Tamandua tetradactyla: one gene and its partners. The protein of the gene in region 3 interacts with the protein of the main gene of each other region in a pairwise test. Links are inferred from orthologs where the notes say so. Each region holds a gene or a part of one and is shown on either strand. Other genes may lie near its edges.

Evidence for each region.
Region 1: the proteins of PRKG1 (region 3) and IRAG1 interact in a two-hybrid assay, tested with the Homo sapiens proteins (2 studies listed by BioGRID). The link is inferred for Tamandua tetradactyla from reciprocal best matches to the Homo sapiens genes PRKG1 and IRAG1.
Region 2: the proteins of PRKG1 (region 3) and ZNF646 interact in binary tests that used the Homo sapiens proteins (3 or more experiments, as listed by UniProt). The two-hybrid records come from large-scale screens. The link is inferred for Tamandua tetradactyla from reciprocal best matches to the Homo sapiens genes PRKG1 and ZNF646.

Annotation. Positions count from the first base shown.
Region 1 is NC_135334.1:85,485,384-85,496,224, forward strand, and holds the start of IRAG1 (inositol 1,4,5-triphosphate receptor associated 1), read right to left. Parts: upstream 5,916-10,841; 5' UTR 5,406-5,915; coding exon 5,339-5,405; intron 1-5,338.
Region 2 is NC_135349.1:23,460,228-23,471,068, forward strand, and holds the start of ZNF646 (zinc finger protein 646), read right to left. Parts: upstream 6,180-10,841; 5' UTR 5,769-6,179; intron 4,597-5,768; 5' UTR 4,515-4,596; coding exon 1-4,514. UniProt on the Homo sapiens protein: May be involved in transcriptional regulation.
Region 3 is NC_135339.1:45,948,948-45,959,788, forward strand, and holds the start of PRKG1 (cGMP-dependent protein kinase 1), read right to left. Parts: upstream 7,507-10,841; 5' UTR 7,113-7,506; coding exon 6,802-7,112; intron 1-6,801. UniProt on the Homo sapiens protein: Serine/threonine protein kinase that acts as a key mediator of the nitric oxide (NO)/cGMP signaling pathway. GMP binding activates PRKG1, which phosphorylates serines and threonines on many cellular proteins.

The DNA of each region.
Region 1 (10,841 bases), on a different chromosome or scaffold from region 3:
AGAAAATAAGCCTGCCACTCTTCTTGAGGCATTAATAGAGGTGAAAATAGGACCCAGAATTATAGTTGGTCAGAGCCTCAAACTCAATGCAGATATCTCCTGGAAGAGGACAGACTGATTTGTTATAAAAATAATAGCAAATGTTTATTAGGAGCTAAGGACAGATACTGTTCTAAGGTATTTTATCATGCCAAGTGGGTACTATCGTAATCTCCATTTTACAGGAGAGCAAACCAGGTCTCAGAGTTTAAGTGTAGCTCAGGTTTATATAGCTGGTCATTGGTAGAGGCACATGGGCACTCCAGCACCTGCACTTCCTCCCAGGGCAGTGCGCTGCCTCTAGCATGAGGCTCCATCTCCTCAGTAATAATGAGGGAAGAGCTGCCCACACTGATCCATCTCCCAACTCAGGACCTAGCGTTTTTTTTTTATCTCACCTATATGTGCAAAGTCAAGATGTTTTCAGGTTATCTTCATTTTCTGACGAACCAGGAAATTTGAGCTCTCTGGAAACATCTCCCTGGTTCTCCTGTCAATGGAAGAACTCTCTGTGGGCAATGTGTGTCCCTTCCCAGGACAGCTGCCCTACCCTCTACACTGTATCCCCCTTTGCAGTCAGGCTGTGAGCAGTGCATGGTCTCTTTCCTCTCAGTGTCTCCCACCAGCTTGCAGGTTACTAACTTTTACTTGATTTTGCTGAGATGATTGTGCTCTCCTTGCACCCTGCAAACACTGATATTTCTGCTCATAAAACCCCGATTTCCACCAAGGTAGTGTTTCCTAAACTTGAATCATGTGCACATCACCCTCACAATTTTTGCTGTGTCTGTGTGCCACCTGTAATTTTATTTCCTTAATAGTCTTTAATTTGACTAGCAATGGGCTAGAAAACCAGGGTTGAAATCCCAGCTCAGCCATTCACTAGCTTTGTGCTGTTGGGTAAGTTCCTTACCCTCTCTGTGCTCAGTTTTCTCATCTGTATAATAACAGGGATAATAATAGTACCTAGCTCAGAGGATTGCTATGAAGACAAATGAGGTCCTGCAGATAAAGCATTAGAACAGCGCCTAGCACACAGTGAATACTCAAGAAGTGTTAGTCACTGTTGTTATTACATTTATTTAAAAGGAAAACTTTAAATCCCCATCGTAATGGAAAAATCAGTACCATTTGTCACAGAGAGTTATTGTAAAAATAAATGAAATGAAAATAGTTATTAAATTCTAGCTGTTGCCTGCCAGAGGCTCCATGCCCAAGGCCTGCTCTCATTTTGTAAAAAAAAAAAAAAGGAAGAAAAGCAAGTGTAAGAAAGATGTAAGAGGAACATTAGGCTCAAATGAGGCTGACCAACTCTTCCCAGTTTGCCTGGTTGTTTTCTCTTTTTAGCACTGGAAATCCTGAGGTGCTCCTCATTCTTGGGCAAGCAGGCATAGTTGGTTACCCTATCTCAGATGGAGGCTTTCTCCTTGATCAGAAAGACTGAAAAGAATTTAAATGGTCAATAACTTTCTCACAGTGTGATGTCATATGTTTCAGACTATCAGTTTCTAATTTAAATCATTTTGCAGACCAAGCCGACCTCGGGAAACACCTCATGAGCCCACCTGTGAGAGCTGTTTCCAAAAGCCATACATATATGGAAAGAACCACCTTGTATGTACCTCTGAGCGTGTCCTCAAAGAAAGACCACACTTGTAAATGCCCAAGAAGGAAGGAACAACAATCCAACTGTTGCACAGCTGAAATTATTCTATATCATGCAGACATTGAAAAATCATGTTTTGAAGCATATTTAATGATATGAAACAATGATTAGGATACAATGCTCATTTTTAAAAAGAAGACTACAAAACTATACATACAGTAAGACCCTAGTTTTATAAAATACAGAGAAATATAAAGATAGGCAAAAAACAAATCATAATAGTAGTAGTAGTTATCTCTGAGTGATAGGATCATAGAGGGATTTTTATTTCTTTATATTTATTTTTGTCTTTTCTTATTTGTTGTATTTTTATGAAATACAGAATTCTATATTTTACAAGTCATATTCGTACTTTTATTAACAGAAAAAAATGAATCAAAATTATGAATTAAAAATTAATAGGAAAAAAGTAACCAGAGCAGATTAAGTCCAACCTCAGCAAACCATTTTTTACATCTGGGGTCAAATGGGAGGAAAGATTTTCTAACAAACTGATTGACTGACTGGCTGATTGACCAACAGCTGCTTCCCTTCTCCCAAGGAGAAGGCCCTTACAAAGAAGGCAGGGATTGTCCAAAGTTATGGGCATGTGGTGCCTCTGCTAAGGCTCTGTGTCTGAAGAGCTCATCTAGTGAGGCTGCCCAGGTCCACTGCCTGAACTCAGATCCATGGGGCAAACACAATATCCACTCTCCCTCTTTTCTAGATTTTCCCATCATTTAGTCTGTTACACCGATTACTACCCCTGGGACTTGGGTTACTAACTAACAGCACAGTCTATCAAACACTGTAAGTATTACCTTTGGTGCAACGTGGCCAGAGCTGATATCCCCACTCATCACTGGCCAGCAGTGTGCCCCTGGGCATGTTGCTTCATCTCTTTGAGAAGCGATGTCCTCATGTTGAACTAAATCAAATAACCTATCTAGCACAAATCCTGGCACAAAGTAGGATCTCAGTAACAATTTTCTTTCTTCTTTCTTCTAACATTTCCCACACAAGAACTCAGGGCTCCATCTCCCTCCCCCTGATTCAAATAACAGACAGGAATAGAGCCTGGAGTTCCTAGATCTCCTCCCAATGTGCTTGGGCCTCTGTTTCTCCTGGGTCAGCACATAGAATCCTTTTACTGACAGTCAAGACATAGAAAGGCTGACTGACAGGCAGCCACATGGCCCTTTGGGGCTACCCAGGATGGGTGACAGGGTGGGATGGTGAGGGCAGGAATGGCACAGTGTGGATAACTTGAGATCCATACCGCGCATCCTCTCAAGGCAGACTGAAAAAATATGCTTCTCAGGCACATACACATAATAAATCCAGAGCCCCTTTTAATCAGAACATACTTTGAGCTCTATGTTCATGTAGTCATCCAAAACCAAAATTGATCCTGAGCATGCAGTATACTCCCAGCATCACATTGGGCACAGGACAAACAGTGGGGAGAAAGATGGGGTCTCTGCCCACACAGGGCTCAGTTACACTCCTACTGGAGGTGTGGGGTACATCCATCCACCTTCATTACCAAGGCTTAGAGGAAAGAGGTGGGGACTTATTGAGAAGCTGAGATCCCTGCTATGTATAATTCCACTCACCAGACAAGAACCTGGATTCTTCTCACAGCGAATCCCTCCTCCCTGCATGACTAAGTCCACTGGGTCCCATGGAAATTCAGTTTCAAGGAGAATGTACCTCATTGTCCTCACCCAAAATACTACTTAACCCCTGCTCTGTCTGGCTGGGTGACTTTAGACAAGTCATTTAAAGTTCCTGGTTTTCAGTGTCCACACCTGTAAAATTGGGGTAAAGATACATCCCTTAGGATTGCTGTAAGGAGCACATGAGAGCATACATTAAAAGCCTCGGGTCCACAGTGCCACCCCCACTGCCCTCCCAGAAATGGCACCAAATGGAGATCAGTGCAACATGGGGATTAAGAGCAGAGCTTCCTGAGATGGGCTGCCTGGAGTCAAACACCTGCTCCACCTCACTGCCACATGACCTCTGTGTGCTAAAATGTCTCAGCCACAAGACCAGAATGATGATATGAATCGAACTTTGTGTGGTTGTGGGAGTGGTAAATGAGCTACCATATATGAAGTGCTTAGAATAGTATCCAATACATTGTAAGAACTATCTAAGTGCTTGGTTTTTATTCCCAGAAAACATGTTTATAGAGATAATTGATCATGTTGTAGGAATTAGTGCATACTAATATCTCCCAGATGATCTTAGAGGGTAAATGTGCAAGAAATTTCTCTTTCAGTGTATGCCCCACTTATTACCATGCATAGAGGAAGGTACATCTGCTCTGAATGCAAACAGCCACCCCCAGGACAGACCACCCCCCACCCCCTACACACATCACTGAACTATGGACCAAACAAACATGACAACTGTATTGTCCGTTACATCAAAAATCACAAGACACTACTCAAGGCGGGAATGCACACTTATACTTGCGGGAGCACTGAAGTTAGAATCATACCTGGGTTCAGATTCTACCTCTGCTTCTTCTTAGTGATATGACCTTAAGAAGTCACTTAACCCCTCAAAAGTGGGGGGAGGGCTGGTAGGTAAAACTCAACCTGCCTTACTAGTGTGTCATAAAGATCAAGGAACTTCTTGTCTACTCTGGTAGAGGCAACATAATCCTTAGCAGTATTGGTTCCATACTGTTACTCAAGCCTAATGGTCCTAGGAAGTTTCTTCCTTTACCTGCAGGAGACCAATTCAGACAAGCCCTTGGGCTGCTTTTACTTGCCCTGATACCCCAGTGAACAGCCTGAAGAGTGATAAGAGAGCAGTGGCTGCTGAGCTCTAGGAAGCTGGAGCACTGGCCAGGGGCCCCAGATTCCACACTGCTGTTTACTCAACTTCACAGTCTCTCTGGGCTTTTACAATTGTTAACTGGACAGCAGGAAGAAAGGCAGCTGGTGCCTCTCTGCGGGCTTCCACTGGCCTTTCCTTTGGAGAAAGTCAGTCTAAGCGCAGCTCGCTCTAGGAATAGCTGCGACACAGAGCCTCTAGAGGTGAGCACAGCTTGGGGCACAGACTTGGGAGAAACTGAAGACAGAAGCAAAGAGAGAGACAGAGATGAAAGCAGGGGCTGCTAACAGAACACAGGACAGGCAGGACAGTGCAGAAACAGAGGCAAGGTCAAGGATGGAGAAAGGGATGGGCTGGGACAAGGTTCGAGGCAGGGGGTCAGATGGAAGCACAGAGTAGGGCTGGGAGAGGGGTAGTAGGTGGTGGGAAACCAGCCCTGCCTAGCAGGCTAGTAGATTCAGAGGACCCCTCTATTCCCCAAAAGGTCCCACAGAAAAGCTGGGGTTAGGAATTTCCAATCATAAGCAACATTTTCCACCCTGACCTGTGCATGCTTTCCAACAGCAAGCAAAAGGAGCATACTTTAACTAAATTAGAACTGACAAGATTCACTTCTTATTTAAAAATTAAAACAGCTATAATAAAAATACTCCAACCTAAATACCACATAACAAAGTCAACTCCCCTGTAAAGATAAAAGTTAAGCGCCCCCGTCCCAGCACCCTGTACCTTTAAGGAGGAGAAAGTTTCCCTCCGCTTCCCCGACGAAGAGGCAAATTATTCTCAGATATAGCGGCTACTTACCTAAAACTGAGTTATTCCCCTTTCCTCCTCTGGCCAGCCTCTCTTCACTCTGGGGAGCTTTTACCATTTAAGGTCAATGTTACATCTGGCTCCGGAGCTCAGAGCAGAGAAGCCTCTGGCTGCTGTGCCTCGGCCACCCGCCTCCTTGGAGAGGGGCTGGGACTTAGAGGCGCAAGCTGCTCGGGGAGCCCCCCTGACCGGGTTCTGGGGGTTAAAGGTGGGGTAGCTGACCTGGCAACCTCAGGGCTCAGGTCAACCTGGGCCTGTGAGGCAGCACCCTGCCCTGGGCCCCTCCCATGACCCCCACCCCACATGGCAGATGGCAGTGCCCACAGGCAGCTTGTGCCACGGGCACTGTCTCTGGCCAGGCGGGGACAAAGGAGATGCTGCAGATCCGCCTCCCACTCATGAGTCTGCAGCAAGTCCGGGAGCCTGGACAGGACCCTGGCCCAGAGCCAGAAGAATCTGGGAACATTTCCTGTCCCAGGGACCTGGGAACAGATGCTACTCCCACCTTAAAGCCTTGGAAGTACTGCAGAGAAGTGCCTAGAAGATTAGTCTAAACCTAGCCCTGGCACCAGCTGCAATCCCTGCTCCTCCACTTGACAGCCCTGTGGTCTTCGCATCACAAAGCCTCAATATCCACATCTATGAAGTGGGACTCATAATAATAACACCTAACTCATAGGGTCTTTAGAAAGATTAAATGAGATAATGCCAGCATCTCCTAAATGCTGGATCAGCATGAATTTGCTTCTTGCCCCTGACAAGTTACAGTTGAGAAAGGGCAAATCCTCCCGCCAGTTTACACCCTGCTAGTCCCTACTCGCTCCTCACCAACTCAGGTGCAGTGCCCTATCTGAGGTCAAGATCATGGTCCTCCAGGCTTAAAGCAAGTCACATGGGGGTTCCATCCCCCTTCTGGGGTTAGAAGCAACACAGAGCAGGCATGGTAAGATTGCCAGATAAAATACAAGACCCTACTTAAATTTGAATTACAGATATAGAACACATAATTTTTTCAGTATAAGTATGCCCCAAATGTTATATGGGACATAACTTATACTGAAAAATTATTTGTGTGTATACACACACACACACACACACACAAAAACCATTCCAAGCACTATGTTATATGCTTTACTGTATTCCAAGCACTGTTACATGCTTTACATAAAAGCATGCATGTATCCTCATAAGTACCCTATGAAACTGAATTATACCTTTCCTTCAAAAAAGAAATTGAAGCTTGAAGAGATAAATGATTTGTCTGATGCTCCACAGTCGGTAAGTAGTGCAGCTAAAATGTGAACTTAGGTGTGTTTGGCCTTAAAGCTTTCTCTTTGACTACACTTCCTCCCCTTCAGTAGGGATTTCTTAAGCAGGATTTCATGGATAGCCTTCAGGGATCTCTGAGTCACCTGAAAATGTGTGACTGTGTGGTTTGTGTTTTTCTTGGATAGAGGGCCAGACTTACAAAAGTGTCACCAAATGATTGTTTTTAATCACTGCTCTAACACCAGCATTTCATAAAACACATTGCTGGTGGGTGTCCAAAATGGAACAAGCTCTGTAGAGGAAGTTGAGCTCCATCAAGATTGTAAGGCTCATAACTTTTAACTCAATTCTACTTCTAGGAATTTATTATACAGACACATTCTCACACTTGAGAAATGACAAATGAACAAGATTATTCATTGCAGCATTATTTGTAAAAGCATTGATGTCCATCAGTGGGGAGCCATAAAAGAGGATGGTGTATAGGCATAACAAAAAATGAGGAAGTTCTTCATACCCTGATATGAAAAGCCTGCAAGATATGTTGTCAAATGAAAAAAGTAAGATAACAGAACACGGTATCAAATGTCACTATTTGGGTGAAAAAATAAATATATATATATGTACACAGACAAATATATTCATACATACATGCTATCAGATACATTTGTGTGTGTATACAGTCTCACTAAAATTAGCACAAGAAATGAATAACATTAACATGTTTCCTATGGGGAGGGAAACAGGAACTAAATTACTGGGAGACAGACTATCCATGTATGCTTTATTTATATGTTTGAAAATTTGAACAACATGAATGAATCATGTGTTGACATTTTAAAATAATAAGACAAAAGCAATGCTGTTTGTTAAGATGTGATCAATTCATCAACTATCAAAGAGTGTTGGTATGAGCCTGACCAAAGGTTTTTCTTTGAAATTTGTATTTTGAAATAATTTCAGACTCACAGGAAGGTGCAAAAATAGTACAAAGACTCCAATGTACTCTTCACCCAGCTTCCCCCAATGGTGATATATAGCTGACATACAATATCAAAAGCAGAAAATTGATATTGGTACATTACGGCTAACTAGTCTACAGCTCTTATGCTAAAGATCATTTTAAAATACAACCTTCTCATAGTTCGTTCATTCATTCATTCAAAAAGTATTTATCAAGTGTTGGATGATGGGACATGTTAGGAACACCTGAGACCTAGCCTCAGATCTGTCCCTGCCCTCATGGTGTGTAGACTAGCAAGGCGACCTCATTACTCCCATAGGAATAGTATTGTGGAGGCCTGGGACCATGCAATGCACAGTTCTTCTATAAAAGGAACTGCCCCTTTGCTGTCCTAGTCACTGAGCTTCACAGCTTGCCTGAAAGCTGACTTTTAATCCTTAAAAGAGCATGAGCAATTACTCGGGCTATATTTATCTTCATTCCTGGAGCCACACAGGGATTTGTCCTCACTGTACCAAAATCTCCAGCTCATCATTCATTCCCATCAGAGACAGTCATGTGTCCTCAGCATAAAGCAGTGGGCCAGCAGAGGCACACTGCCACACAGCTCGAGGAGGCTCCCCACAGGCCATTTGACCCAAGGCAGGGGAAAAGTCTAAAAGCCTCAGGCAAAAAGCATATCCTGGGACAAAGGGAAGCCAAGTAAGGGAAGCAGCTTCTTGCCAAGAACATTACCAACTCTGGGATTGATTGCTGGGATGACCTCACTGGAGTTTTGACTTCCCTGCTCCTTTTAAACTCAAGAACTCTGGATGTGCCCAGCACTCAGTAGGCCCTAGATGAGTATGTGAATAAATAAATGACCAAATCAGCAGGAATTGCATCTGGACAATGATGATAGCTATCATTTACTAAACATGGTACCAGGCATTGTGCTGGCCACTTTACCTATATGGTCTCGTTCAGTCCTCATCAAGTCCGTGAAATGTAGAGCTCCTCATCCTTATGACAAAGATACAGAAACTAAGACCTGGAATGGTCAAGGATCTCACCAGTGCCTTCACAGTTTGCAAACCCAGATCTTTCTCACTCAAGGGTCCCTAGGTGTCTGGTCAAGACAGTAGACTGGAAACACATGCTATCTCCTCTCCCTCCTATAATACCATTAAAATGATAGCAAAGGACTCTTTAAAAAGGAATCAATCCTTAGCCACAATGTGAACAGGAGGAAGCCATAAGTGAACACATTTCTAGAAGCTGGCAAGAGGATAGAGGAGTGGTGCCCAATGAAGCAGGAGAAGGAGGCCTCAGCCTAGCACGAGATGACACACAGAGAGAGACTCTAGCCAAGAAAGGAACTCATCTTCCTGATGCCTCTGAGAGTTCCGGACTTGAAAAGCCAGATATGACAAGGACAGAAAGGAGATATGGAGGAAACAGAGAGGGGATGTTTAAAAGTCTGTGGACAGAAGGAGGGGAAAAAAGAATGAAGCCCAGTGACTTTTGTACATAGCCTTTGGACTAGATGCCCTCAGATTAAAGTGAAACAGAACTATAAACAAATTTTGAATAGATGTCTCTTTTTTCCACAAATATATGGGTTAACAATTCTGAAAATACTTTCTATACATTCTAGGAATAAGAAAATTGGTAAATATGGTGTGGATCATGAGAACCAAATTACTTACTGTTGAAGGAAGTTACAAATATGGAAAAGGTAGAGGGATAGGATAAACTATATAGTGCTGTAGTCGGGATTTTAGGTATTGGAGTGAACTAGATAGATAGCTAATAGGCAAACTAGATGATAGATATATAGATACAGATGTATGCACACATGTATTTATGTTTATATGCATACATACATGTGTGAGTGCATATAAACATACACCTATATTCTAGCTATTTCTACTGAGAGGGCCTGGAAGCAATAATACCCCAGTAGCTATAAGCACGCTTAATTCCAACATCTTGGCTTATAAATACCATTTTCTAATAAAAGGAACCAGACCTCCTTGACGAAATAGATGTTTCTAGGCCTGGACAGGTAAAGTATGAGAAAGTACAAAATGAGCCTGGATCACTTTATTGTGCCAGGAAAAAAATACCTTATTGTGTTTCAGAAAAAAGGAAAACATGTCAAAAGGACACAGAAACCACTTGAAGGCTCCCATTGACCAAATATGAGATAATATGAACATCAGTATTGCCAATAATAGTAAAGAATTATAACCTATTGGATAAAATAAGAATCCATGAGCCCATGATGATATAAACAAACAAATGGAGGAGAAGGAAAAGCTCTTTTTTACAGTAAAATACCAACCAATAAATGTAGAAGAATAATGGAATTAGAATGTAGCTATTAACCATCTTATTAATAGTTGATTCAGGCAAAAATCCCATCAATGGATGCTGAAAGTCATGGTTGAAAGTTTAAGGAGTAAGAAGATATTTACATAGTCTCATAGTATCTCCCCACAAGACACTTATTAATTATAAAGGAGGAGATAATAACTTTACAGTGGAGAAAACTGACAGACATCACCATAACAGAGTGAACAAAATTAATATCACCAATAATGGGACAAACTGACAGCATGTATCTTCTGATAGGTGCAATGAGGATTCAGCATTACTTCTGTGATGTTTCTGCCGAAGATGAAATATCTGAATCTAATGATAAGGAAACAGGTGAACACAAATCCAACAAAATAACTGTGCAGTTCTCTTAAAAAACATGAATGTCATTAAAGACAAACAAAGACCAAAGAGCTGTTCCAAATATAAGAAGACTTAAAAGAAATAATAACTGAATGCAACAAATAACTAGGGATTTTCTTTTGCCCTAAAGACTCCAGCAATATCTGTATATAAAACAAATGTAACAAAATATCAATAGTTGGGGGATCTGGGTTAAGGATACACGGTAATTCTTTGTACTATTCTTGCAATTTTTCTGTTAAGTCTGACACTATAGCAAAAAATAAAAAAGGAGGAGGTTGGAGTTTCTCAGGCAAATTTCAATATAGTCACTTCAAAAATTCTGCAGACAAAAAAAGTCAATCTCCCCTCACCTCTCACTCTTTCTTCTAATCCTGCTTACAGAAAGCCAGTTTGGCAATATGCATTTGCTCTCACAACCAAAAACAACAAAAACAATAGCAACAGAGCATTCTTCTCTAAGGAAACTGAATAAACTGGGATAAATTAGAATAGCTACCATGGAAGCTGCTATTATCTCTGAATAAAACCCTCTGC
Region 2 (10,841 bases), on a different chromosome or scaffold from region 3:
TGACTCAGGATAGGGTGATCATGTTGGCTGTCAGCAAGATGGCAAGGGCTCCTGGGGACCCTGTCCCTTGGTTCCTCTTCTGTCTTGGTTAGTACCTCTCCCAGAGGAACCCAAGTTTCATCGTGATTCACTGGTTCCCTGTCTGCCTGCCACCCATGAGCCTTCCCCTCATCCCAGGACAGAGGCCCTGCAGCTTCTGAACCTGCTGCCCTGTAAAGACTCTGACTGTGCTCCCCTGGCTTCGTGGCTCCATCCTCCAAGTGGGGTTCTGACTCACTGCCAGATCTGCCCACCAGTGCCTGGGCATCAGTCAGGTTCCCTTCACTGCTCTCTGTGCCAGGTGGGCCTCTCTGGCCACTAACTAGCTTTTGTTTGGCCTCCTCCTCATGCTCCCGAAGGTGCCGCTCCAGAGATCCCCGGCCAGGGAAGCCCCGGCCACAGAGGGCACAGCGCATAGCTGCCCGCCGAGACCGCCCTGCCCGCCGGCGGCGGGTCTCTGAGTGCAGCCTCTGGTGATCCTTTAGTGCCATACGGTTTGAATAGGTCTTGGGGCAGGCAGGGCAGCTATACTGACCTGTCTCATGGCTGCGCCGATGGTTCAGGAGGCTCCCAGCATGGCGATAGGTACGTCCGCACTGCCCACAACGGAAGGGCCGATCTTCCCGAGTCAGCTTTCGGGTGCTCCCACTCCCACGCCGCTCAACATGGACCCGCTGGTGGCTGGCCAGTTGCTTCCGCAAGCGGAAGGCCTTTCCACACTCAGCACAGCGGAAACGTCGGGGATCTGCGTGGATGCGCCGGTGGTTCTTGAGGGACATGAGATTTGAGAAGCCCTTGGAGCAGGCCTGGCAGCCAAAGTGGCCAGTCTGGTGGCTCTGCCGGTGGTTGATGAGGCTTCCAGCATGCTTGTATGAGCGGCCACATACCTCACAGCTGAAGGGACGTTCAGAGCTGGCCTCGGTCTGGCAGCCCTTCTCTGCTGTCTCCAACCTCAGCTCCATATCCTCCCCCTTCACAGTTGTCTCCTCCCATGCCTCCTCTTTCACCCTTGCCACTTCCTCTGGGGGCTCGGCTTTAAGTTCTTCCTGGAATGTCTCCACTTCTGCCTGTCCCAGTCCTTCCATCACATTCTGGAGCTCACTGCTACCTCCAGCATCCTGGTTGAGTCCCACCTGGGGCTCAGAGCCTTTACAACGGGGATGGTTTCGTAGATGATTACGGTATGCAGCCAGGTTAGGGTAGCAGCGGGAGCAGACAGGGCAGACAAAGTCTCCAGTCTGGTGGATCTTGCGGTGATTCACCAGGCTGCCACCATGGCGATAGGTCTTGCCACACTGGTTGCAGCGGAAAGGGCGGGGCTGGGCCTCCGGGGAACTTTCACTACCCTGCATGCAAAGGCCACCTGCAATGGTGGCACTTACTCCCTCTCCAGACTTTGTATCTGCACACTCCTCAGAGACAGAAGCCAATGTGTCCTCATAGGTATCATCTGCAACCATCTCCACAGCCTCAACTGTTTCTCTTAAGCGACAAGAAGAGTTGTCCATGGTGTGCCCAGAACCACCACCCAGACTTTGGTGGTGACGCTCCAGGCTTCCCAGGTCATCATAGGTCTGGCCACAACAACCACAGATGTGCCCGTAGCCGGCTCCATCTAAAGCCTCCACCTCCCGCTGCAGCTGATTCAGCAGCTCTGCTTCCGAGAGCTGCAGCTGAGGGCTATGGGAAGAGGCTGTTTCCACTGTGCCTTCCTCTTCCCCCTCTTCCTCCCAGCCCTCAGTCATACCAGAGGAGTTGTGAGCCTGACGCTGGTGAAGCTTGTACCCAGCCCGGCCAGTGAAGATCATGCCACAGAGGCAGCAGAGAAAAGGTTGTGCTGAGGCCGCCTCCCCAGGCCCATGGTTCTGGAAGTGGCTGCGCAGAGCGGGCAGAGAATCAAACTCTTTTGGGCAGAGAGAGCACTGATAGATGCCTGGTGGGTGGCAGGGTCTGTGGCTCAGCAGGCTGGTGGCATGGGGGAAAGAATGTCCACAATCAGAACATGTGTGGGAGGCCTCAGCCTCCCAGCTGCTAACAGCTTCAGGACAGTGGGAAGGGGATGTGGGTTGGCCAGTGGCTGGTTTCTCATCTTCATCTATCCCAGTGAGGCCACGGCAGAAGGTGGCTCCACCGCCTCTCTCATCCCCTGGGATGTCCAAGTTGTCAAGGAAACAGGCCTTTCTTTCCAGTCCTTCCTCAGTGCCTCTGCTCTGTTTATCACCCTGGAAACGGGCCTCATTCCTTTCAAGTCCACATTTGTCCCCCTCTGATTCAACCTGCAAACAATCCCCATCACTTTCCAAATTGCCTTCAGTCTCAATGGGTCTTTCACCTGAAGGATCTTGAGAAAAGTCTGGGTCCTTGTGGTCATCCACCAATTCCTGGGCCCAGTACCCCTCTGACGGGAGTTTGGTTCCGCCCCCACTGCCAGCACTTCCTGCCCGCCTCCGATGCCGCCTGCTCCTCCGTCGAATGTGACGTCGCAAATGGTTTTTCATGGCAGCCATGGTGTGGAAGTGCTTGGCACAGGCCCCACAATGGAAGTCCCCTGTCTGGTGGGTCTGCCTGTGGTTGATAAGGCTGCCTGAGTGGCGGTAGCTCTTTCCACAGTCTCGACAGGCAAATGCCCGAGGAGGTGACATCCTGGTCTCTGCCCTGCTCTTTTCCCCTTCCCCTGTCCCATGGGTCCAGCTATGATGTTCCAGGCTCTCAGGGTCCTCAAAGAGCATCCCACAGACACTACAGATCTGTGGTGCTGTCCCATCTGCTGCCGGGGGGATACTGGTGGCCTCCTCTTCATGTTTGCATCCATGCCCCTGATCTGTATGTGGGGCTGCCTCTGCTCCCACCAGGTCAGGTGGAAGCTCCACCTTGAGGGGGCTGAGGGAACAGTCTGCACCCTGGCCCACACTATGGCGTGCAGCCTTGCAGTGCACTCGCACGTGATTACGCAAGGCCATGAGATTTGGGTACTTGCGAGGACACAGTGAGCACTGGTACTCTCCTGTCCGATGGCTGTGCCGATGGTTCACCAGGCTCCCCCGGTGGCGGTAAGCCCGACCACATTCACTGCACTTGTAGGGGCGATGGTCCTCCAGGGTGGTGACAGGGACCTCTTTCACTCTGGCAGTAGTCTCACCCAGATGCAGGGGAGCTGGTGGGACTGATGGCTGCCCATCCTCCCTGGTCCCTTGCCGGGGTCTGTGATGAGCCCGTACATGGTTTTTGAGGGCAGCAGCATTGAACAGCTGCTTAGAGCAGATGGAGCAAGGGTAAACACCTGTCTGGTGGCTCTTGCGATGGTTGATGAGGCTCCCAGCATGGCGGTAAGTGCGGCCACAGTCCCCACAGCGAAAAGGTCGATACTCCTCTAGGCTACTGTCCTCTAGCTCCCCTGAAGTACTAAGCTCCCCAGTACCATTCACCATTTCTGTATGAGGGACCTGGTCCTGGCTGCTTTCCTCTGTGTGCCCGTTGGTGGGAGGCATCCCCTTCACTTTCCATGGCCGCTCTTGCCTTTCACCCTCATGGGTCTGTTGATGTTCCAGCAGCTCCCGGGGGAGCCGGAAGGCGCGGGGACAGTGGGGACAATGGTAAGGCCGATATTGGGCATGGAGCCGGGAATGGTTCTTCAGAGCCATGAGATTAGAAAACTCCTTGAAGCAGATGGCACAAGGATAGATGCCCAGGGTATGGCTCTGGCGGTGGTTGGTGAGGCTCCCAGCATGCTTATAGGTTTTGCCACACTGGCTGCACTTGTACCGCCGTTCCTCCTCAGCAGGAGGGGACTGGGTGGGCTCCTGGCCCCCTGTGAAGTTCACAACTGATTCAGCCAAATACTGTTCCAAATTGCTAAGGAGACTGCTTGCTGGGGTGGGGAGAGGTGGCACTCTGGCAGAGTTGGCGGTGGGTCCCCAGCCCTCTGTGCCCTCCTGAGGATCTGGCTGGCTTTCCCATTCATCCCTTGGTCTGGCAGATGGATTTGCCCAAGTACCCAGGGTTGCCCTGGGGTCAGGCCCAGACTCAGAGGCAGGTATCTCTTGGGTATGCCTTGTCTGGCTTTCCCAGCCTTCCCTTGGGCTAAGCCTCTGGCCCCAGGAGTCAGTGGACACCATCTCACCCTGGAAAACAGGGGTGACTTCCTTGGGACGTGGGGGCCTGTGCCTACGGCGGCCCTCAGGCACATGAGTCCGCATGTGGCTCTTGAGAGCCATGGGATTGGTGAAGTCCTTCCCACAGGTGGTACAGGGGAAAAGGCCAGTCTCGTGGGTCCGGCGGTGGTTGACCAGGCTCCCTGGGTGGCGGTAGCCCCGCCCACACTGCTGACAGCGGTAGGGTCGGGGGATACTATCAGCCTCTTCACTGTCCTGGATGGGAGATGGATGGAGCAGTTCTCGGTGCCGCGCCAGTTCTGGGAGGCTGGGAAAGTGGCGCTGACAGTCAGAGCAGCTGAATGAAGCAGGTGAGTCCTCCATGGGGCAGCACAGTAGAAATCTGAAGGTTCAGCAAGCAAAGGCAGGTGGCAACAGCATGTTTCTCTGATGGAGGGGCCAATGCCTAGGAAGAAGGAGCAGTAATAAGATAGGCACAAATTAACTCTGCCTCTTGGCTCTATGAGCAACAAGTTCAGGGGTTAGAGAAGCTCACTAAGCATCAATGTCCAGAGACCTGCTTTCTGGATCTAATGTAGAGGCAACATTATTCAAGACCTCCCTGCATACAAGTTCCCCAAATGTGTGAGCTCCCTTAGGCCTAACTACTCCCTCAAATTTTAGATAAACTATAGGTGAGAGGGATAAGACCTACCTCTCTGATTACAGACCTATTGATCCTGTTCTTCAGACCAGATCAAAAAGGTCTTACTATCCCTAAATTTCTGCTCTATATAATTCTGGGGAAAACAAAACATATCTCCCCTAATATCTTACAAGGTAACCAGGGTGGGAGCATAGCACTGTGAAGTAATTAATACTACTGAATTATACACTTAAAAATGGATAAAATGAGAAATTTGTTTTATATGTTACCACAATCAAAACACTTTTTAAAAGGAAACGAGAACCCTTTCTGGGCCTTTCAATAAGAGAAATCCAATCTTTCTTCCTTCACCCCTCAGTTAAAGAGCGTTATCTATTGATAGAGTCTAGAGGCAATGAAAAAAACAGCCTCTTTGTCTAGGAGACACCTGAAGGCTTGAGAGGATAGCTTAAGAGCCTTGTTTCAGAGAGAGGGCTGGCTTGGTCCCCAACCTTCCTATTCCTTTCAGTGTCACAAGGTCTACTTCCTAAAAGTCTCTATTGGCCACTTCCTTTACCTTTTCCCCCTGAACCTAAACTATCTGCCATCTTGGAAAATTCCATCCCATTTCAGATTGTTCATTATCCCCTACATCATTTTCTTTCCTATGCCTCCACACCATCCCTTTTTTCTCTCTCTCCTCTCAACACCGACGATGATGACAGCAACTCATGAATTTTACCATGTGCCAGACACTGTGCTAAGCAAGGCATATTCACTGTGTCAATTAATTCTCAAACACTCAGTAATGCCTGTTACCCAAGATGAGCAGTCTTCATTGCAAAGCCTCTGCTCTCTCCACAGCAGCCCTTCCCGCTTCCTACCTCACCTCGTCCTCCTCCAAATCTGACTCTTCACTCTCAGGGGACCCTAATCCCACTCCTATCTCCGACTCTAAAGCCCCTCAGTAAACTTGCTCCCCGAAGTCTCACCTCACAAAGCCCCTGTGCTCAACAGTCCTCTCTCCCCTCACTCTTCTCCACTGCCAATTTCCTCTCAGGCCCCCTACCTCACACAGACGGCCCTTTCTCGTTCCCGCCGCGGGCGCGCCCGTTGGGGACTGCGGGCGGCGGGTAGTGGGACCGCGAACGGGAGAGCGCCTGCGCACTGGGACCCTCACCCTAACTGCTGCCGCGCGCCCTAAGGGTTGGCGGTGGGGGGTCTCGCGCTCCCGCGCACGCACGCTCAGTTAGGGCTCCCCCAGGAGGTGGGAGGGGAGGGAAAGAAAGAGAAGGGCGTGAGAAAGAAGAGGGTAGGAGAAAAAGGGCGCAGCTGACGCGAGCTGCGAGTCTATCCCGCAGCTCCTCGAACACTTCCTATTGTTACTAGGAAACAGGAAGTGTCCGAACCGCAAAAGCTTCCCCGCAAACCCGCGCCCCACCCCCACTCCCGCCTCAGGAACACTTCCTGCCCCGCCTCCAATCAGCCGTTCTACACAGACACATTTCCGGCCCTAGAGGAGAAATAGACAAGTACGACTCCGGTCCCGCCCATGCAGGTCACGGCGTTTCCGTTCTTCTGCACTAACCTTAGCCACACTTCCGGCGCAAGGCGCTAAAATCGTCCCGGTGTATATTGGACAAGTGCAGAAGAGGGAAAAAAAGAGTTCTGCAGCCCCTGGCTTCAATACCTTAGCGACACTTTTCCTGAGGCTCCCTGGAAGACACTTCCCAAGACCGATGGAGGAAGCCTCATTAAATTCAATCCCTGCTATTAAAGGAAACGTTGTGGCATATAAGCGGATTTAGGTATTATAAAGCTTGAGCACGGCCCTTCTAGTTCTCGGAGACATTTCTGGTGACCCGACCCCAAGCGAACAATAGCCCGGTGTATATCGTAAACCTGTCCGGCGTCTCCTGCCCTCAGTTCCTACAGAGACCCCATTGAAGATGGTTCCCGGCCATCAGCGGTTAGGGGTGCTCCTGTAAACCTTTCCTTCCTTCCTTGCCGGGAAAACTCCCCTCTACTTCCGCTTGCCGGTCCGCCGGCCCCGCCTCCCCCTCCCCCCCGCCCCCGCGCTGGGTCCTAGCGCCAGCCCTTCCTTGGCAGTGTCCCGGGCTCCGTCAGTGCAAGGAGCCGAAGCCGACGCCGCGGAGCCAGTCTGAGTCAGTTCAGGTAGGAAATGACGGCAGGGAGCTGGCAGATGCCCGGGCGGCCTCGGCGTGAACGTGATCCGAGCGAGCCTCAGTTTCCCTATGGGCACGGAGGGTGGACGGGGCCGGCCCGGCTCGGGCAGCGCGCGCGGGGCGGGAGGAGAGTGGCCTCAGGCAGGCGCGGGAGGGCACCAGGCCTAGTGGGTCCTAGAGCCCGCCGGCTGCCACTACGGACCTGCGCCCGCGGACACCCGGACTCGGCCCGCACGGCTGCCGGCCTTGCACGGCGTAGGCCCAGGGGTCCTAGAGCCTGCCATGTTGCGGGCTTTTGTCCCCGTCTTGCGGCCCGCCCAGCGGCGTCCGGGTACCTGCGGTCCCCCTCCCCGGCCGAGCCCCTGGCCGCCCCTCCCGCGGTCCTAGAGAGCACCATTTTGCAGGTCTTTGTCCCGCGTCCGGCCTTCCGTCCATTCATTTGTTCATTTTCCTCACTCATCGTTCATTCCTCTTGTCACGATCTCTGAGGCCACTTTTTCCGAGGTCTTATTCTGAAATGAGTCAGCTGAGGGCCCTGCCCTGCGGGGACTCCCAGTTTGGCGAAAGCGCCGACACGTAGGCTGTCGCAGAGTGAGGGCCGTTGAGTTAGAGACCGTTTCTGCTGCTCTCGGCCTCTCCTCAGTGTGACTTGTGTTCCTAATGCCCTTCAAACTCATTTTACGATGGAGAAAGGAGCCCCAAAGTGCAGTGGGACCCCTACCTCCAGTGCCCGTGAACTATGCCTGAGGACAGTGGTGAAGGGGATTTTTGAAGAATGCAAATGTTTTCCCTTGGGATAAGACAAGCAAGGGCTCCCAAAGCAGAGGAAACGCATGTGGAGGTGCATTGAGGTGGGGAAGTATGAGAAGGGAGCCCTGGCTGGTAGGGAATGCTGCCTTTCAATTAGGCTGGAATGATAGGCTGGGATGAAGGTGAGAACTGACCAGGTTGGAGGCCTAGAGGATGGTTGGTTATCGTGCACAGTTCCCCATCTGCCAACTCACCAGATCTCTCACAGCTGTGAGGCCTGGGTGGTGCTGTTTGTTTAGAGGTGCTGAGAGGACAAAAAATGGCTCCTTTCTCACTCTGACCCCCAGGGTCCTAGCCTAAGCTCTCTGAGAATTAAGTCTCTGCATCCCTAGTGTTTAGAGCCTATTCAGGCAACAGAACTTTCTTTCCCCCCAAAGTAGTAATGACACTGAGACAAGGCTCCATCACCAGAATAATAAGCCCACTGCAAGCTACTGAAGTGACATTCAGACCTTGTGAACTTGGAAAGACAGAGAAGTCAGTTAATAATTGGTTGCTGACCAGCAGCCTCACAAGCTCCTTAAACTAGTACTATGAGAAAGGCGGGGGCTACAGAGCTGGGTTCGTATTCCATCTCAGAGTTGGCACATTCAGTTTGTTTTAGAGTGCCCAGCCTGGTTCTAGGAGTAGCACCAGAGTCCAGGACAATTAAGGCTCCTGCTCTTCACCAGCCTGGACTCTGGTGCTAGAAACAGAGAATTATCAAGCAAGCTGTAAAATGTGTAAATGCTAGCAAAGCAAGGATCTGGTAAACACCTGGCTTTGAATATTAACTATGACCATGCACTAGAGTTCCTTTACCTCCATGTGTCTCAGTATCTATAGAATAGGGGAAATAAAATTGTTTCATTTCTAGGCAGTTTGCATGGCTTAATTTGGGTAGTACACATAAAATGCTCAGAATGGTACCTGGTAAGCTTACAAGGAATGTTATCCAGATGAGTACCTTAGAGGAAATTAGAAGGATACAGAGAGTGATTGGCACTGAGGAAAGAAAGCCCTTTTTGTGGAGGTGTCAGGGAGCTGAGAACCAAATGAAAGAGGCAGCTAGATCAGAGTCCGGGTGGGAAGATAGTGGTTCTGGCAGAGGGAACTGCTGATGCCAAGACTCTGAGGTAGAAAGAATTTAGATCTTTAAGGAAAAGAAAAGGGGACTGTATGGGTGGAGCCTAGTGAGCCGGGGGAAAGAGGAGGGAGAGGTGAGTTAAATGGGGCTAGATAGTGGTGGGGCCTTGCTACCAATGCAAAAGATACTGGTCTTTATTAAGGGAGTAGTGGAAAGTCTCACGATTGGCCACATCAACCTTGAATGAATGAAGACTGGTAGAATAAGACCCAGCCCAGCCCAACCCAGAGACCTGAAGACTTGGGTCTTCAACAGGCATCTTTGAGAAAGCCTCCTTGGCTCTCTGTGCGGGTGGTCATATTCTTTTCCCTTGGGGGAAGTCGGTGTTAGTCTTCACATCTGTAAAAGGGGTGGAGTAAAAGTGTCTCCCTCCCAGGAGCTGGTGAAGATCTAGGGTTCTGAAGTCTTGGTTTCTTAAGTGTTGGTTTGAAATGATCCAGAGAGTGTGTTTAAAGCACAGATTCCTGGATGATTATTCTGATGCAAGGGGCTTCCAGACCTAACTTGGAGAAACATCACTCTAGAGAGTGGGTGAAAGAGTTCCCCGTAAACAGTGAAATGGGATGTTAATGGTGGGCTTCTAGGCTGGGACCTAGCCTACCTGGCCCTCCATTCTTCATGGAGTGGGTACCTGCTGGGACCAACCAGGCACTACCCTACCTATGCTTCTGGGAAGAACCTCAGGAGGAGGGATTTGCCCTTGAACGCTCTGGTCTCCGGGTCACAAATAGGAAGACTGAGACCCAGGTCCAGGAGTAGGGAGTGTAGGGGCCATGGACCCAGCCCTCTGGACCATGAAGGGTACTGGGTCCGGTTTCAACACAGTTATACAGGCATGAAAAAAAAAAACACGTGTAAGACCTGACCTCAGGGTTCTGGTCACTATGGGGCTGCTCTGGGCAACAGCCAAGTCTGGGAAACCAAGACAACTGAGCAGGGCCTAAGAGAAGACAAGTTAAATAGACCTGAATTCAAGTGTCAGCTGCATGATTACTAGCTGAGTCAACAAACTGCTGAGCCTCCTGGAACCTCCTCTGTAAAATAAGGACAATAATTCTTATCTCAGGAAGCTAGGAGAGAATTAAATAAGGTAGCAGGTTCAGCAAAGTGCTGGCTCTCAGAAGTCTCAGTAATTGAGGGCAGTAATTGTTCTTATCTCATTCAATCCTTAGCCTACTATCATTATCTCCATTTTTAAGATTAGAAAACTGGAGTCCTAAGAGATGAAGTAAATTGCCCAAGGCCACATCAGCTAGGAAGTGATGGCATCAAGATGCACAGCCAGGCAGTTTGGTTTCAGAGAGTCTGCACTGGAACCACAATGCTATACCACGTCTGAGGCCTCAGTTCCCTTATTATCCATGAAATGGGGTAATCATAGAACATTCTTCGTAGTGTTGAATTGAAGGTTAAGTGAGTCAGTACACTTAGAGCATTGGTGTTTAGAGCAAGTGCTCAATAAACAGGATCTACCATTTGTATTAAGGAGAAGCTTTCCATCAGGCAGACTCTCCAAAGATGGTCTGGAAGGAAGGTACTGAGTGCCTAGTCCAGGGAGGAAGAGGGTACCCCCTGGAAACCATAGGCAGAATTCAAGCTGTGAGGAAGGTTGGACCTCAAGCCGTTTTACTTACCTCCAGTCCCAGGATTTAGTGGGAAAGTGATATAACCAACCTGAAGGTGGAAGAGTTGTGTGGGATTGGGGGTCAAAACCTAGAAGGGATCCAAGTGGGAGACCCAGGTTCGATTCCTGCACCATGCACCAAAAACAACAACAGAAAAAAAACCTACAAGGGAACATGCAGGAAATGCTTCCCAAGGGAGGTGGGATCAAACAAAGGACTCTTGAAATTTGAAACAGCCAGGACAGATTTGGGAGGGTGAATGGTATGATAGGACACAGAGAAAAATCTTGAGCAGGGGACTGAGAGCATTGCGTGGTA
Region 3 (10,841 bases):
ACCTATAATTTGACAAAAAATCAACCAGTGCTTTTGCAAGTCTCCAGTACTTACTGTTTTTTTTCCCAATAGAGACATTCAACCCTTCAAGTAGGAAGTTTATCCTGTCCTCTGTTTAATCACACACACACACAAAAATACACACACACACACACACATACACAATTGCCTTCCTACCTCAACCCCAAACTCTGCTGCACATTGTAATAACCTGGGGAATATTTTTAAAATACTTAGAGGTAACTTCTAATGTCAGAAGTGCTGATTTATTTGGTTTGGGGTAAAACATAGGAATCAGAGTTTTTAAAAGCTCCCAAGGTGATTCTGATATATAGCAAAGTTTGGGAACTACTGTCCTACCATAATTCTTATACTTTTCCAAACTACTTCTGCTTTCTGTTCACTTACTGGCGAACAGGTATGTCCTTGAGAATGGCCTATATGTTATATATCAGGTTTTCCTGCAACTGCCTCCTCCTTACCAACCCTCAGACCTCTCTGGGAAGCAGACAAGCCTAGTATCTATGACATCAGCCTGCGGAGTTCAAATTCAGGATGAGCCTCTAACTAAATGTGTGACCTGGGCAAGTTGGCTAAGCTGCTCTGGACCTTAGTGTCTTGTAGTTCAGTACTGTGAAATGGGAATATCTGGGATCTTCCTCTCAGGATTCTTGTAAGTATTAAGCGGCAGGCAATCAATGCAAAGCACCAGGTGCTGGGCCTGGCAGAGAGTAACGTCAGCCCAGTGATGTTAGCCGTGCTGACTATGATGACGATGAGCAATGCTGTGCTGCCTGGTCAATTCAGGAACAGCGCTGTGCTGCCTGGCTGTCCTTGCTCCTTACCTCTGCCCTGTGCACGGCTCCTTACCTCTGCCCTGTGCACGGTACTGATATCAGGCTAAGGGATGTTTCAAAGGGACAAATGCAATGCATTCGAAACAAACATTGGTGCAAAGGGAAACCTCTTAACGGTTTTTTGTGAAATCCTGGTATGGCTCCAGAGGAACCGAGCCTTCCATATCCTCCAGTTTGGGCACCTCCTCCCTATTGCTGCCTTCATTCACAAAGTACTATCTTGCAAATCTTGTTCCAGTCACAGCACTATTTACTCACCCATAAAGCACATCACTCCTTTCCAACTTCCTCGCAAATGTGATCCAGCTTTAACAAGACTACTTGTTTTGCCCTTTTCTGTCCCTATGACACACATCTCTTCTTCTCACCCTACTCTCATGCTTTTCTCATATTAATAACTATGATTATAAAATCCGTTCAGAAACAAGACATTTTTGAGACTGTGCTATTAGTCCCACCTTTAGTTGAACATCTGTGTAGCTGCAATTTTTGCCCTATTGTTTATATTTACTTGACAGTTTTTGGAAGGAGGACATTCCTCAGCTCTTACAAACAAAATTAGACTTAGAGAGCTCAAACAGGCTGCACATATTTAACTTCTCAGAAAATAAATTTTAAGGAGATGCCAAGGAACATAGTCATTATAGAAGACGGTAAGGGGAAAGTAGAACTGGTATCAGAAGGGTGGGTGTGAGCAAGGAGAGAACGGCTGCCAGGGAAGGGGTGGCAAGCAGCACCAGCTCAACAATTCAGATTAGGATTCAAAATGCCACAGATGTGATTGCATAATAAGCTGTTGAGTGGACTGGTAAATGCTGCTTTCAGCATGTGCTTATTTAGCGCATTGTCTTGCCTTCTCTGAGATCAGAAGGTTCAAGTCAGAGAGTCCAGGATGCTAGCAGCAGGCCCAGTTCCCTGGGATGGGCAGCAGCACCTAGGGGAGAGATGGCAGAAAGAGCAGCAGCCTGGTGTTCAAATCTGGTTGCTAGGATACCATGGAGACCCTCCATTGCTAGGCAGACAGAATTAAAAAATGTGCCCATATGCCTCATAAACTGCACTCAGCAACAACCGAAACATTGCCTGCCTTCTTCTCCCCTTCCCCATTAGGAAATCCAACCCAACTCTTTAGTGAAATAACAAGAAGTAGTGGAAGCATGGAAATGTGGCTCAGTAGAGCAGGGAACCCAGTCATTTACATTCTCAGGCATTCTTTACAGTGACTCTATTGAAGCATTTGTCAGTATTTTCATTATAAACCCCATTTCAGGGTTAGACAACTCAACTGTGCTTCAAAAACACCCTAACAGGATTTTAGCAACCTGTTCTCATACATTTTTATAAAGGTTTCATGACTTCAAGTTTACTTCATAGACTGTGATGTCAAATTATTGACCAAACTTAAATCGGAGAGGCTATTAGAATAACATTAGGCTGGGATTTAATGCCGCCACGAAAACAGGAAAGATGAATTTCAAAAGCCAACGTCAGGTTCAATTCTCATCTACGTCCAGTTTGCCCTGGTATGCAAGGAATCTGTGATGCCAGACTGTGGCATAAGACTAGGTTACTTTCTATGTGCACATTTTGAAATGAGTGGGAAAAGGAACCTGGTTTCTTTAAGAGTGGACTTCGGTCTCTTCAAGACTTTTAATCATCTGCTGCCTGCTTCAATCAAATACTCTTCCTTAGGTGGGCAGTTATGCCTGGTATCAGGACTGTGCTGGTGGGAAAGGGGTGGGTAGAGGGTTGGACAAACATTCTGAGATTCAGAGCTTCCTTAATGCAGAAGAATTAGTCCTCGAAATTAAAAAATAAATAAACAATAAAAAGCTAAAAGGATTCTTGTTTATTTTAAAAACTAGCAGAAATGCCCTCCCTCCTGATTTATAAAATCACAAAAACTGAGATTCTCAGTCTCTCTCGTCTTAACTTGCTTTCCTCAATTTCCACTAATTGGAAATCATTAGTGGCCATTGTTAGTGGCCATTTATTCTAGTATGGCCACTAGTTGCTGTTGTCCCCTCACACCCAGAAGCGCCTTCTGCTTTTGTGCATGGTTTTGTCCCTCTGTTGATGGCTTAGAATGTCTCTACCCTGCCCCTATCCTAACCTGGTCCCCTCTCACCTATCCTTAAAATACTTTAAATAACTCCACTTCCACAAGAGTTTCCTTCACCATAAAATTTAAAGTGCTTGCTCATATTTTGCCAACTGTCTCAGGTATCTTCTCTGTGATTTATCATATTCTACTTTCCAGAATATTTATTCTCGTGCACTATTGTTATCCCCTTGTTAGCTCTTTGATGGTTCTGACAGTGCATTGCTCACCTGTCTAACATCTTACGGGAGCTCCCACAGGGCAGTCCTCCTATAAAAGTACTGAAACGAGCTGAGGACACATTTGGAACCTAATTTCTACCTTTGAAGAAGTCTATGTTTTAATTTTATGCCACCTACAATTACAATGGAATTCTAGAAATCTCTCAGCTTTCTATAGAATTGGATTACAGCCTTCAGGAAGACACTAGTTCTGTTGAGATGTACTAGTGTCAAAGTTTAAAGGAAAGACCACATAAGATCTTTTTAAAATTGATGGCGCCTAAAAATAACAAAACACAGTTCTTTTCATCCTTAGCTCTTCCGAAGTCCTTCACAATCAAAAAGTGAAACAACAAAACATATCGTCATTCTCTGAAATTCAGCTACCTCTGGGGTAAAACCAACAGCTTAACAAAATTCAGACACACTAACAACTGCTGATGGGAAGTCAATGCTGTATGGTCCAACTGAAATGACATGGAACCCTGTGTCCGCAAAACGGAAAGGATTTGGAACGATTTACAAAGGGTAAAGAAGTTAGATCAAAATACTATAGGGTAAATATTGTAACCTACTACGGAGTAAATTTTCAGGAATGATGTGATATGGAATAAAATTAATTAATAAAATCCAAAAGAATGATTCTAAATACATAACCAACAGGCCAACTGATCTCATATGATGAATGTTTTCTTTTAATTTTTAAGTTTATTTGCTCAATTTATTTCAAAACATATGGTCTAGTAGTTTTACATACTCAACTAGGTTATTTGGTAGCAGTGGAATATGGATTTGAATTTGCTTCATCTTTCCTTTGCATCACGTTCATAATCCAAAAAGGACTCAAGGGTACTTCTATACAGGTGGTAGAAAAGACAAACACAGTCACTGTCCTCACCTCACGGGCACAGCAGGAGGGCTCGGACTCTGTGCTAAAATCTCAGACATTCCCCTCAATTCCAAGCTCAAAGGGAAAATTCCAAATCAAAACCAATTAAGAAGATTTAATTCAGTAAGTGCATTTACATTTTATACTACCTGGAAATGATCAGAAGTCACTAAAACCAGAATTTTTTTAAAAAAACTAATCCTCAGAAGGCAACCTCAGTAAGCAAAAACTAGGCAAACATATTTGATACATATGAGTATTTCCGATAATTGAGCAGAAAACTTGCCGGGAAGTTATCTACATCTACTGGAAAGAGAATAGAAAACTACCATGAACATGAATTCGAAACAAATTTTCGGCTATTTAGATAGTTTCATTTTAGCTTGAACTCACATTAACAAACTATGAGTAAGTTTAAGAAAGGTGAAAAATTTAACCTGTTGCCAGTTAAACCTATATAATTGAATTTGCATTGTGAAATGAATTGAAACGCAAACAGATCTTCAGTTTGGCAAGTTTCCTTAATTCTTTGTGGCACTCTTGTGCATGACTATTCAAATGATATAAGATATAATCATTTTTCATACAATATATTTCTCTTTCCCCTAAGAAAAATATACCCTACCACTTCAGCCAAGTTTTATTCTAGTTTTCTTTACGTAAGTGTGAAAAAAGAACAGATGTTTTCCCAAAATTATTTAAGCTTGGAAGACATTCTATCATTTTCTTCAATATAATCCTTCAGAATCACCAAAATGATCATGGCAATATCTTTATAACTGACTCCTGTAAAACGTAAGTTATTAAATATCAAACGGCACAGGAATGTTCATTAGCTCAAATTTTACTATAATGGAACATTGTGAATTATTTTACACGCGAATTTCATTTTCCACAATGGGCTTTTTTAAAATCTAGTTCTACAGGTCAGGCAATAAGAAGCTTCTAAAATTTACCAAAATCTACAGTTTGTTCCCCACTTGCCTAGAAGTTCTTTAACATATTTAACTGGAGTTATCAGCTGGCTTATCAGGCTTCACTATAAAACCTATTAAAATAATCTTTTTATAAAAGCAGAGTTTGCTCTGCACTGCTCCGAAGTCCTGCAGACACTAAAATGAGATCCTATGGAATGCTTAAAGATGCAGAGAGCTGTCTTCAAGTTATTTTTTCATTATGCAAAACTTGGCCCAGGAGAGATGGCCATGCACCTCGTTAGCAAAAACAGGCAAGCATGTCAGGACTGCAAATTAATTTACCAGAGAAAGCTGAAGTGGCTTCACACCACTCAGGTTTTTTAGGCAGATGTAAGTCTGGTGAACTATTAAGGCCAATTTGTGCAGGTCCAAATCTCAGAAAGGTTTGATCCTTACTACCCTTTCTCCAGTCCCTCAAGAATACAAACTCCTCCTTACCCCGGGGCTGCACAGGGAACAGCAAATGCTCCACGGGAACCAACATGCAAAGGTACAACTCTAAGTTTTCAGAAGTGCAATTATTACATTCTCACGACCTCCAAAAAATCCAATAAATACAATTGGGGGCTAATAAAATATATATTCTTTCTTCTTATATTAACTCTCTGTGTTTATGATGTGAAGGGTTCCAAGGGACCTTGTATTATTATGTAACACGTGCCATCCAGACAGTGTGATGCAGTTAGCATAAAGTAGAAAAATCTTTCACTTTTTAATGTCATTATCTGGTAATTAAAAATAGCATTCATTCGTGCACTTTCCTTCATTTTAGGTTAACCTTATACTCCCGCTGCTTTACTCTCAATATGGATTCTGAGTTGAGTGTTGTATAACAAGTTTCATTCAATTTTCCCAGCCAAGTTATGTGAAGCTCACTGACATCAAAACTACACAGTTCTCTAAAATGCTAGAATAATACCAGGGTGATCACACTAACGGCTAGAACCAAGGCAAACTGTGCCCACATCCAAAATAAAGGTGTGTTCCTATCTATATTTGACCCTAGAAAACATGCAACCCTCGTGGGGGATGGAGGCGTTCCATTAGTAACATTATGCAAAGGAAAACAGGCAATATTGTCTCAGATGCTAGGAAAAAAATTTTAAATGAACAGACTAGGTTTCCATTTATGGATTGTAAATGTCATCCAATTCAGGAAATCAAGAAATCACCCCCTTGTATATGCGTATTTGCTTTTTAAAAAACACTTTGATGAGGGCAGAACATCAGGTTTGAAGGGTGCCAGCGTGAATCGCCACCATGTAGAGAAATCCGAGGGAGCCAGAAAAGCATAGAAAGTAATGATGGTAACAGACGCATTTCATTTCAAGTCTGATGAGCCTGCATTTAGGCTTTTCCGGATGGGCAGGTTTGCCAAGGCATTTGGGAGACGGGGCGTTTTATTCCTCCTCTCACATTCACTCGCATACAATACACACACGCACGGACACACACCTGGGGCGCGTTCAAACTCCATGTACAGTAGGTGGCATATAAGAATGTATATGTGCATATATATATTTTTTTAATAAATACTTTGATATCTGACAAAGACACGAAAGCAACGTATGTGCAGTAAGTCTGGCTCTGAGAAATGTGCATGGCCCCGCAAGAAGTGCCCATTAAAATGAAACATTTCAGAGGATGAGGACAGACACCGCAAGCGGGAGGGGCGGGGGCCGACAGACATTACGGAGACCCGCAGCTCCCCCACCGACAGGGCGCCACACCGACCCGGAGCGTAACCCCCGCTTACTGTGGGCTCTTGGGGTAGAAGGGCAGGGTCACATGGCTGAGATCCTGGATGTCGAAGGCGGTGGGCTCCGCGGAGATCGCCTGCCGCTTGGTGCGCGGCTCACCCTGCAAGGTGCTCGCGCTCTGCTTCTGCGCCTGCTGGGTGGCCGGCCGGATCACCGAGCGGTACTTGTCCAGCTCGTTCTGCAGCTTCTGGATCAGTTCGTCCTTCTGATCCAACTCCAGCTCCAGCTCGTCGATGAGAGCATCCCGCTGCCTCAGCTCCTCGATCTTCTCCTGGAGCGCGTACTGTAAATCTCGCAGGGTGCCCATGCTCCTCCGGGCAGCCGGGGACTCCTTCCTGCCGCTGCTCCGCGTCTTGGGGCTTCCTCCCCTCTTCGATCAACTTTCCCCAAAGTCGCCGCTGCCTCCCGAGTGCAAAAGCTTCCTACTTGAGACCAAAGCCAGCCCTGGCTTCTGAGCATGCCCAGTCCGCCGGCTCCAGCCACCGAGAGTTTCAGTGTGCAGACCGTACTTCTCTGGGTTTACTGGGAGGCTGAGCGTGGGGATGAGCAAAACAGCAGGTCCAACCCGGGATTAAGCCTGAAACAGAGTGGGCGCCGCGGCGCCGGGGAAAGAGCCGCGAGGCTCGGCGGCAGGGAAGAGGGAGAACGGGACTGAAACGTGGAGCTCCGAGGCAGCGGCTGGTCTACACGGGTCGCTGGCGTCCGGCGCCAAAGGAAACCGGCGGTGCGTGTGGAGAGCCAGATAAACCTCTGGGGCGCGCTGGGTGCTGTGCAGGCGGAGGGAGGCTGGAGCACTCCTTTGGGGGGTGGGGAGGTGGGGAAGAGAGAACGCGGAGGACCCCGGGCAAACGGGAGGCGTCAGCCGGTGCCAAAGCATGCCAGTGTTGAGGGCATTGGGCTAAATTCCTGTAGACACGCGAGGGCAGCGCGGACTCCGCATTCTAAGGGCTCCGACTTCTGGAGGCGTTTTGACCGCCTGCTCACCCAGAAAGGCTCCGGAGCTGTGTGGTTGATTACTAGCTTCCCCCGAGCCACCCTTCCCACTAGGAGCGCCTCACACAGGTGGCTAACGCTTGAAAAGAAACTTGTCACTTAAGAGATGAGAGCGAGTAGGTACCTGGAAGGGATTTCTTTTTAACTCAGGTGCCTTTGAGGATGGAGGGTCTGTGTTTGATTCTTGATCCACTAGCATTGCCGCTCCGCACTTACCTGCCTTTCCGCCCCGTCCAAACTCAGATTAATGAAATCATCTTAGGGCAATGGCCAAAAGGCAGTTGGGCCCCAGAAGGCCACTCTGCTTCTCCACTCTCTCCCACTTGAGCCAGTATCTATGGAATCGTTCACTGCCAGTTGCTGAAAATGTGGGGCTTAAAAATCATCGCCGAGCTCCAAAAAGTTCATCGAGAAATTGAGCTGTATCCTTCAAAACATTATTTCTTTGACAACCAAGCCATTAGGACCATATCTTTCCACTTCTGTGGCAAGGGAGAAACCTGACACAAACTCTGAAGGAAAAAATCATACAGTGAAAGGAAGGAAAGTCTAGAAGGCCTGATGTAAACTGTACAACATATACAGTCTGTCACCCCACCTCCACCCACTCCATCCCCACCCTTACCAGCTCAATATTTCCTAAAAGGATGACAATTAGGACCTTTGTCCAAATGTAACTCTCCCATCATGGAAACACATGTTTAGAATCCCCAAACATTTATCTAATATCTAACCTAAGTTCCTAATATTTACCTAAATTTTAACCAACTCATCCAATTCTATAGCATCTTTTCTGGCCCTGTAGTTACTCTCTTTGGGGCACCCGAAGTTATCCTCCTTAATGTTTTACTTGGCCATTCCTTAACACGAAAACAAAGTAGATAATAATAATAATAAATAACATTGAATTGTAATCCAGAGCCATTCACTGGAATCTGAACTTAGCCCAGGACATAAATATGAACCTCAAAAACCTTGCTCACTTTTGCTTTTGAATTTGCAACTGAACAAAAAAGAAAACAAAACAGAGAGAAAGAAAGAAAAATAGTCAATAGTATTTTCACAAAATTTTTCAGTTTAAAATATGTTTGTAATTAGAAGCGTAAATGACAAAGGATATACAATCCTAAATACTGTCCCATGCAGATTATGATCTAATTCTCTTTCAGTACAGATGCATGACACTCAATTTTTCTGCTTTTCAACACAGATATTGTGGAAAATGCATTTATTTCAGAATATAATAAATAAAGCGGATATTTCCAAAACATTTTTATTTGTAATGAACAAAACATGAAAAACTTACAATTACTGACAGCAGTAAAAACAGTTCTGAATTATTATTGTTTTAGTTAAAAGTAAACCAAGCAGAAGTACTTAGTTTGCATTAATGAGTCTATTTTAAAAGTGCTACTGTGATATTTTCCTTCTCTCAGACAAAAGGCCAAAGTTGTATCTTATTTAACCTACAGGAATTCTTTAATTCCATGGTTAAAATATTTAAAACAAAATGATTTTTTTCTATAGATATATTAAAGGGGTCCATGCAACCATGAGTTTATCTCTAAAAATATATCACAAAGGGATGTACAGAGGGTATCAATTAGACAAGTCCTAAGCAATATCTGGTTTTTAAGGTTCATGTGAGGTTTAAATAAGGGTTACCCTAAGAAGCACAGAATGGAGAAGATTATTCCTCATTTGTAGAAAGCCTGCTATAGATACAAAGAAAAATAGAGACAAAAACATTGTTCCAAAATAAAACAATAATAATAATACAACCAAAAATATTCAGGTATTTGCAAGAGAACTGAGATTTTAAAAGTAGAATGTGTGAATATTGCCATTATTTAAGCTACCATATTCACACACAATTACAGGATTTATCTACATTACACTTTCATTTTAAGTGGAATACCTTGTAATATAAAATAAATTCCACGATGAATCCAATACTGAGATTCAACAATCTGTTGTAATAACCACAAAAAAAATTAATGGCTGAGAAGATATGACTATTACAACTGGCTTATGTTTTAAAACGTATTCAAGGTATTATGGAATATATTCAGTTATGATTAGCCTACATTATGAAAAAAATAAAATTTTCTTTATAATTGAATATAGTCAGTTAGGAATAGCCTACATTATGAAAAAAATTAAATTTCCCTTAAATATTTGATAATATTAAATGCAAAATCCAGAATTCAAGGCTTGTCTTTTGATTCTTGAATTCAAAATTAATATTTTAAGTATGTTTTACATTTTATATATTCTTGACAGGTCATTTAGATCTTAAGGATCTGGGTTCCATCTCAGCATTTAAGCAATTCCAATATTTTCTTAAACACCTTTAGCATTGTAATTGGCAAATTCTGGAAATAATTGTATATAATAAATCAGGGCACTACAATTACATTCCAACAAAAACAAATTTTATCATAACATTTTTACTAGGTGTCCTATAGTAGTCTTATTTGGCTAAATTACAAGATGAAAAATCAGGTACAAGTCTACTTTCTGCTCATTAGAAAAGTAGTCCATCAATGTGGAATGGACTACTCATTGTGGACTGAGCTCTCTGCCTTGGAAGTTAGTTGTTAACAGAACAATACAAGTCTAAAGAAATGGTGTTCATACTCTGGAATTTCATAGTCAACCCACAAGCTGCATTTCAACATTATCCCCTTGGAACAGTTTTCATAGAAGCAAAGTGCTACCATAGCCCAACCAAGCTGTGGCATATTAAACTCCAATATGCTCTTCTATTTTGCACCCAGTGCTCATGATTAAGAATAAATATTAACATGCCTTCCTTGATGGAATGTCAAATAATTGAATGAGACATTCAATAAAGCAGCTTTACCATAATACTATTAAAAATAATAGTCTGTAGAATTGCACTAAAAGCCTAATTAGCCTCAAAAGAACTAGGGTAATTTTATCATCTACTTTTGCATTCCACTAATGCTACATTCCCTGGAAGAGTCCTAAATTTGAAGTTTCCTTTGTCACTTTATGGGTATATCTTAAACAGGGAGGA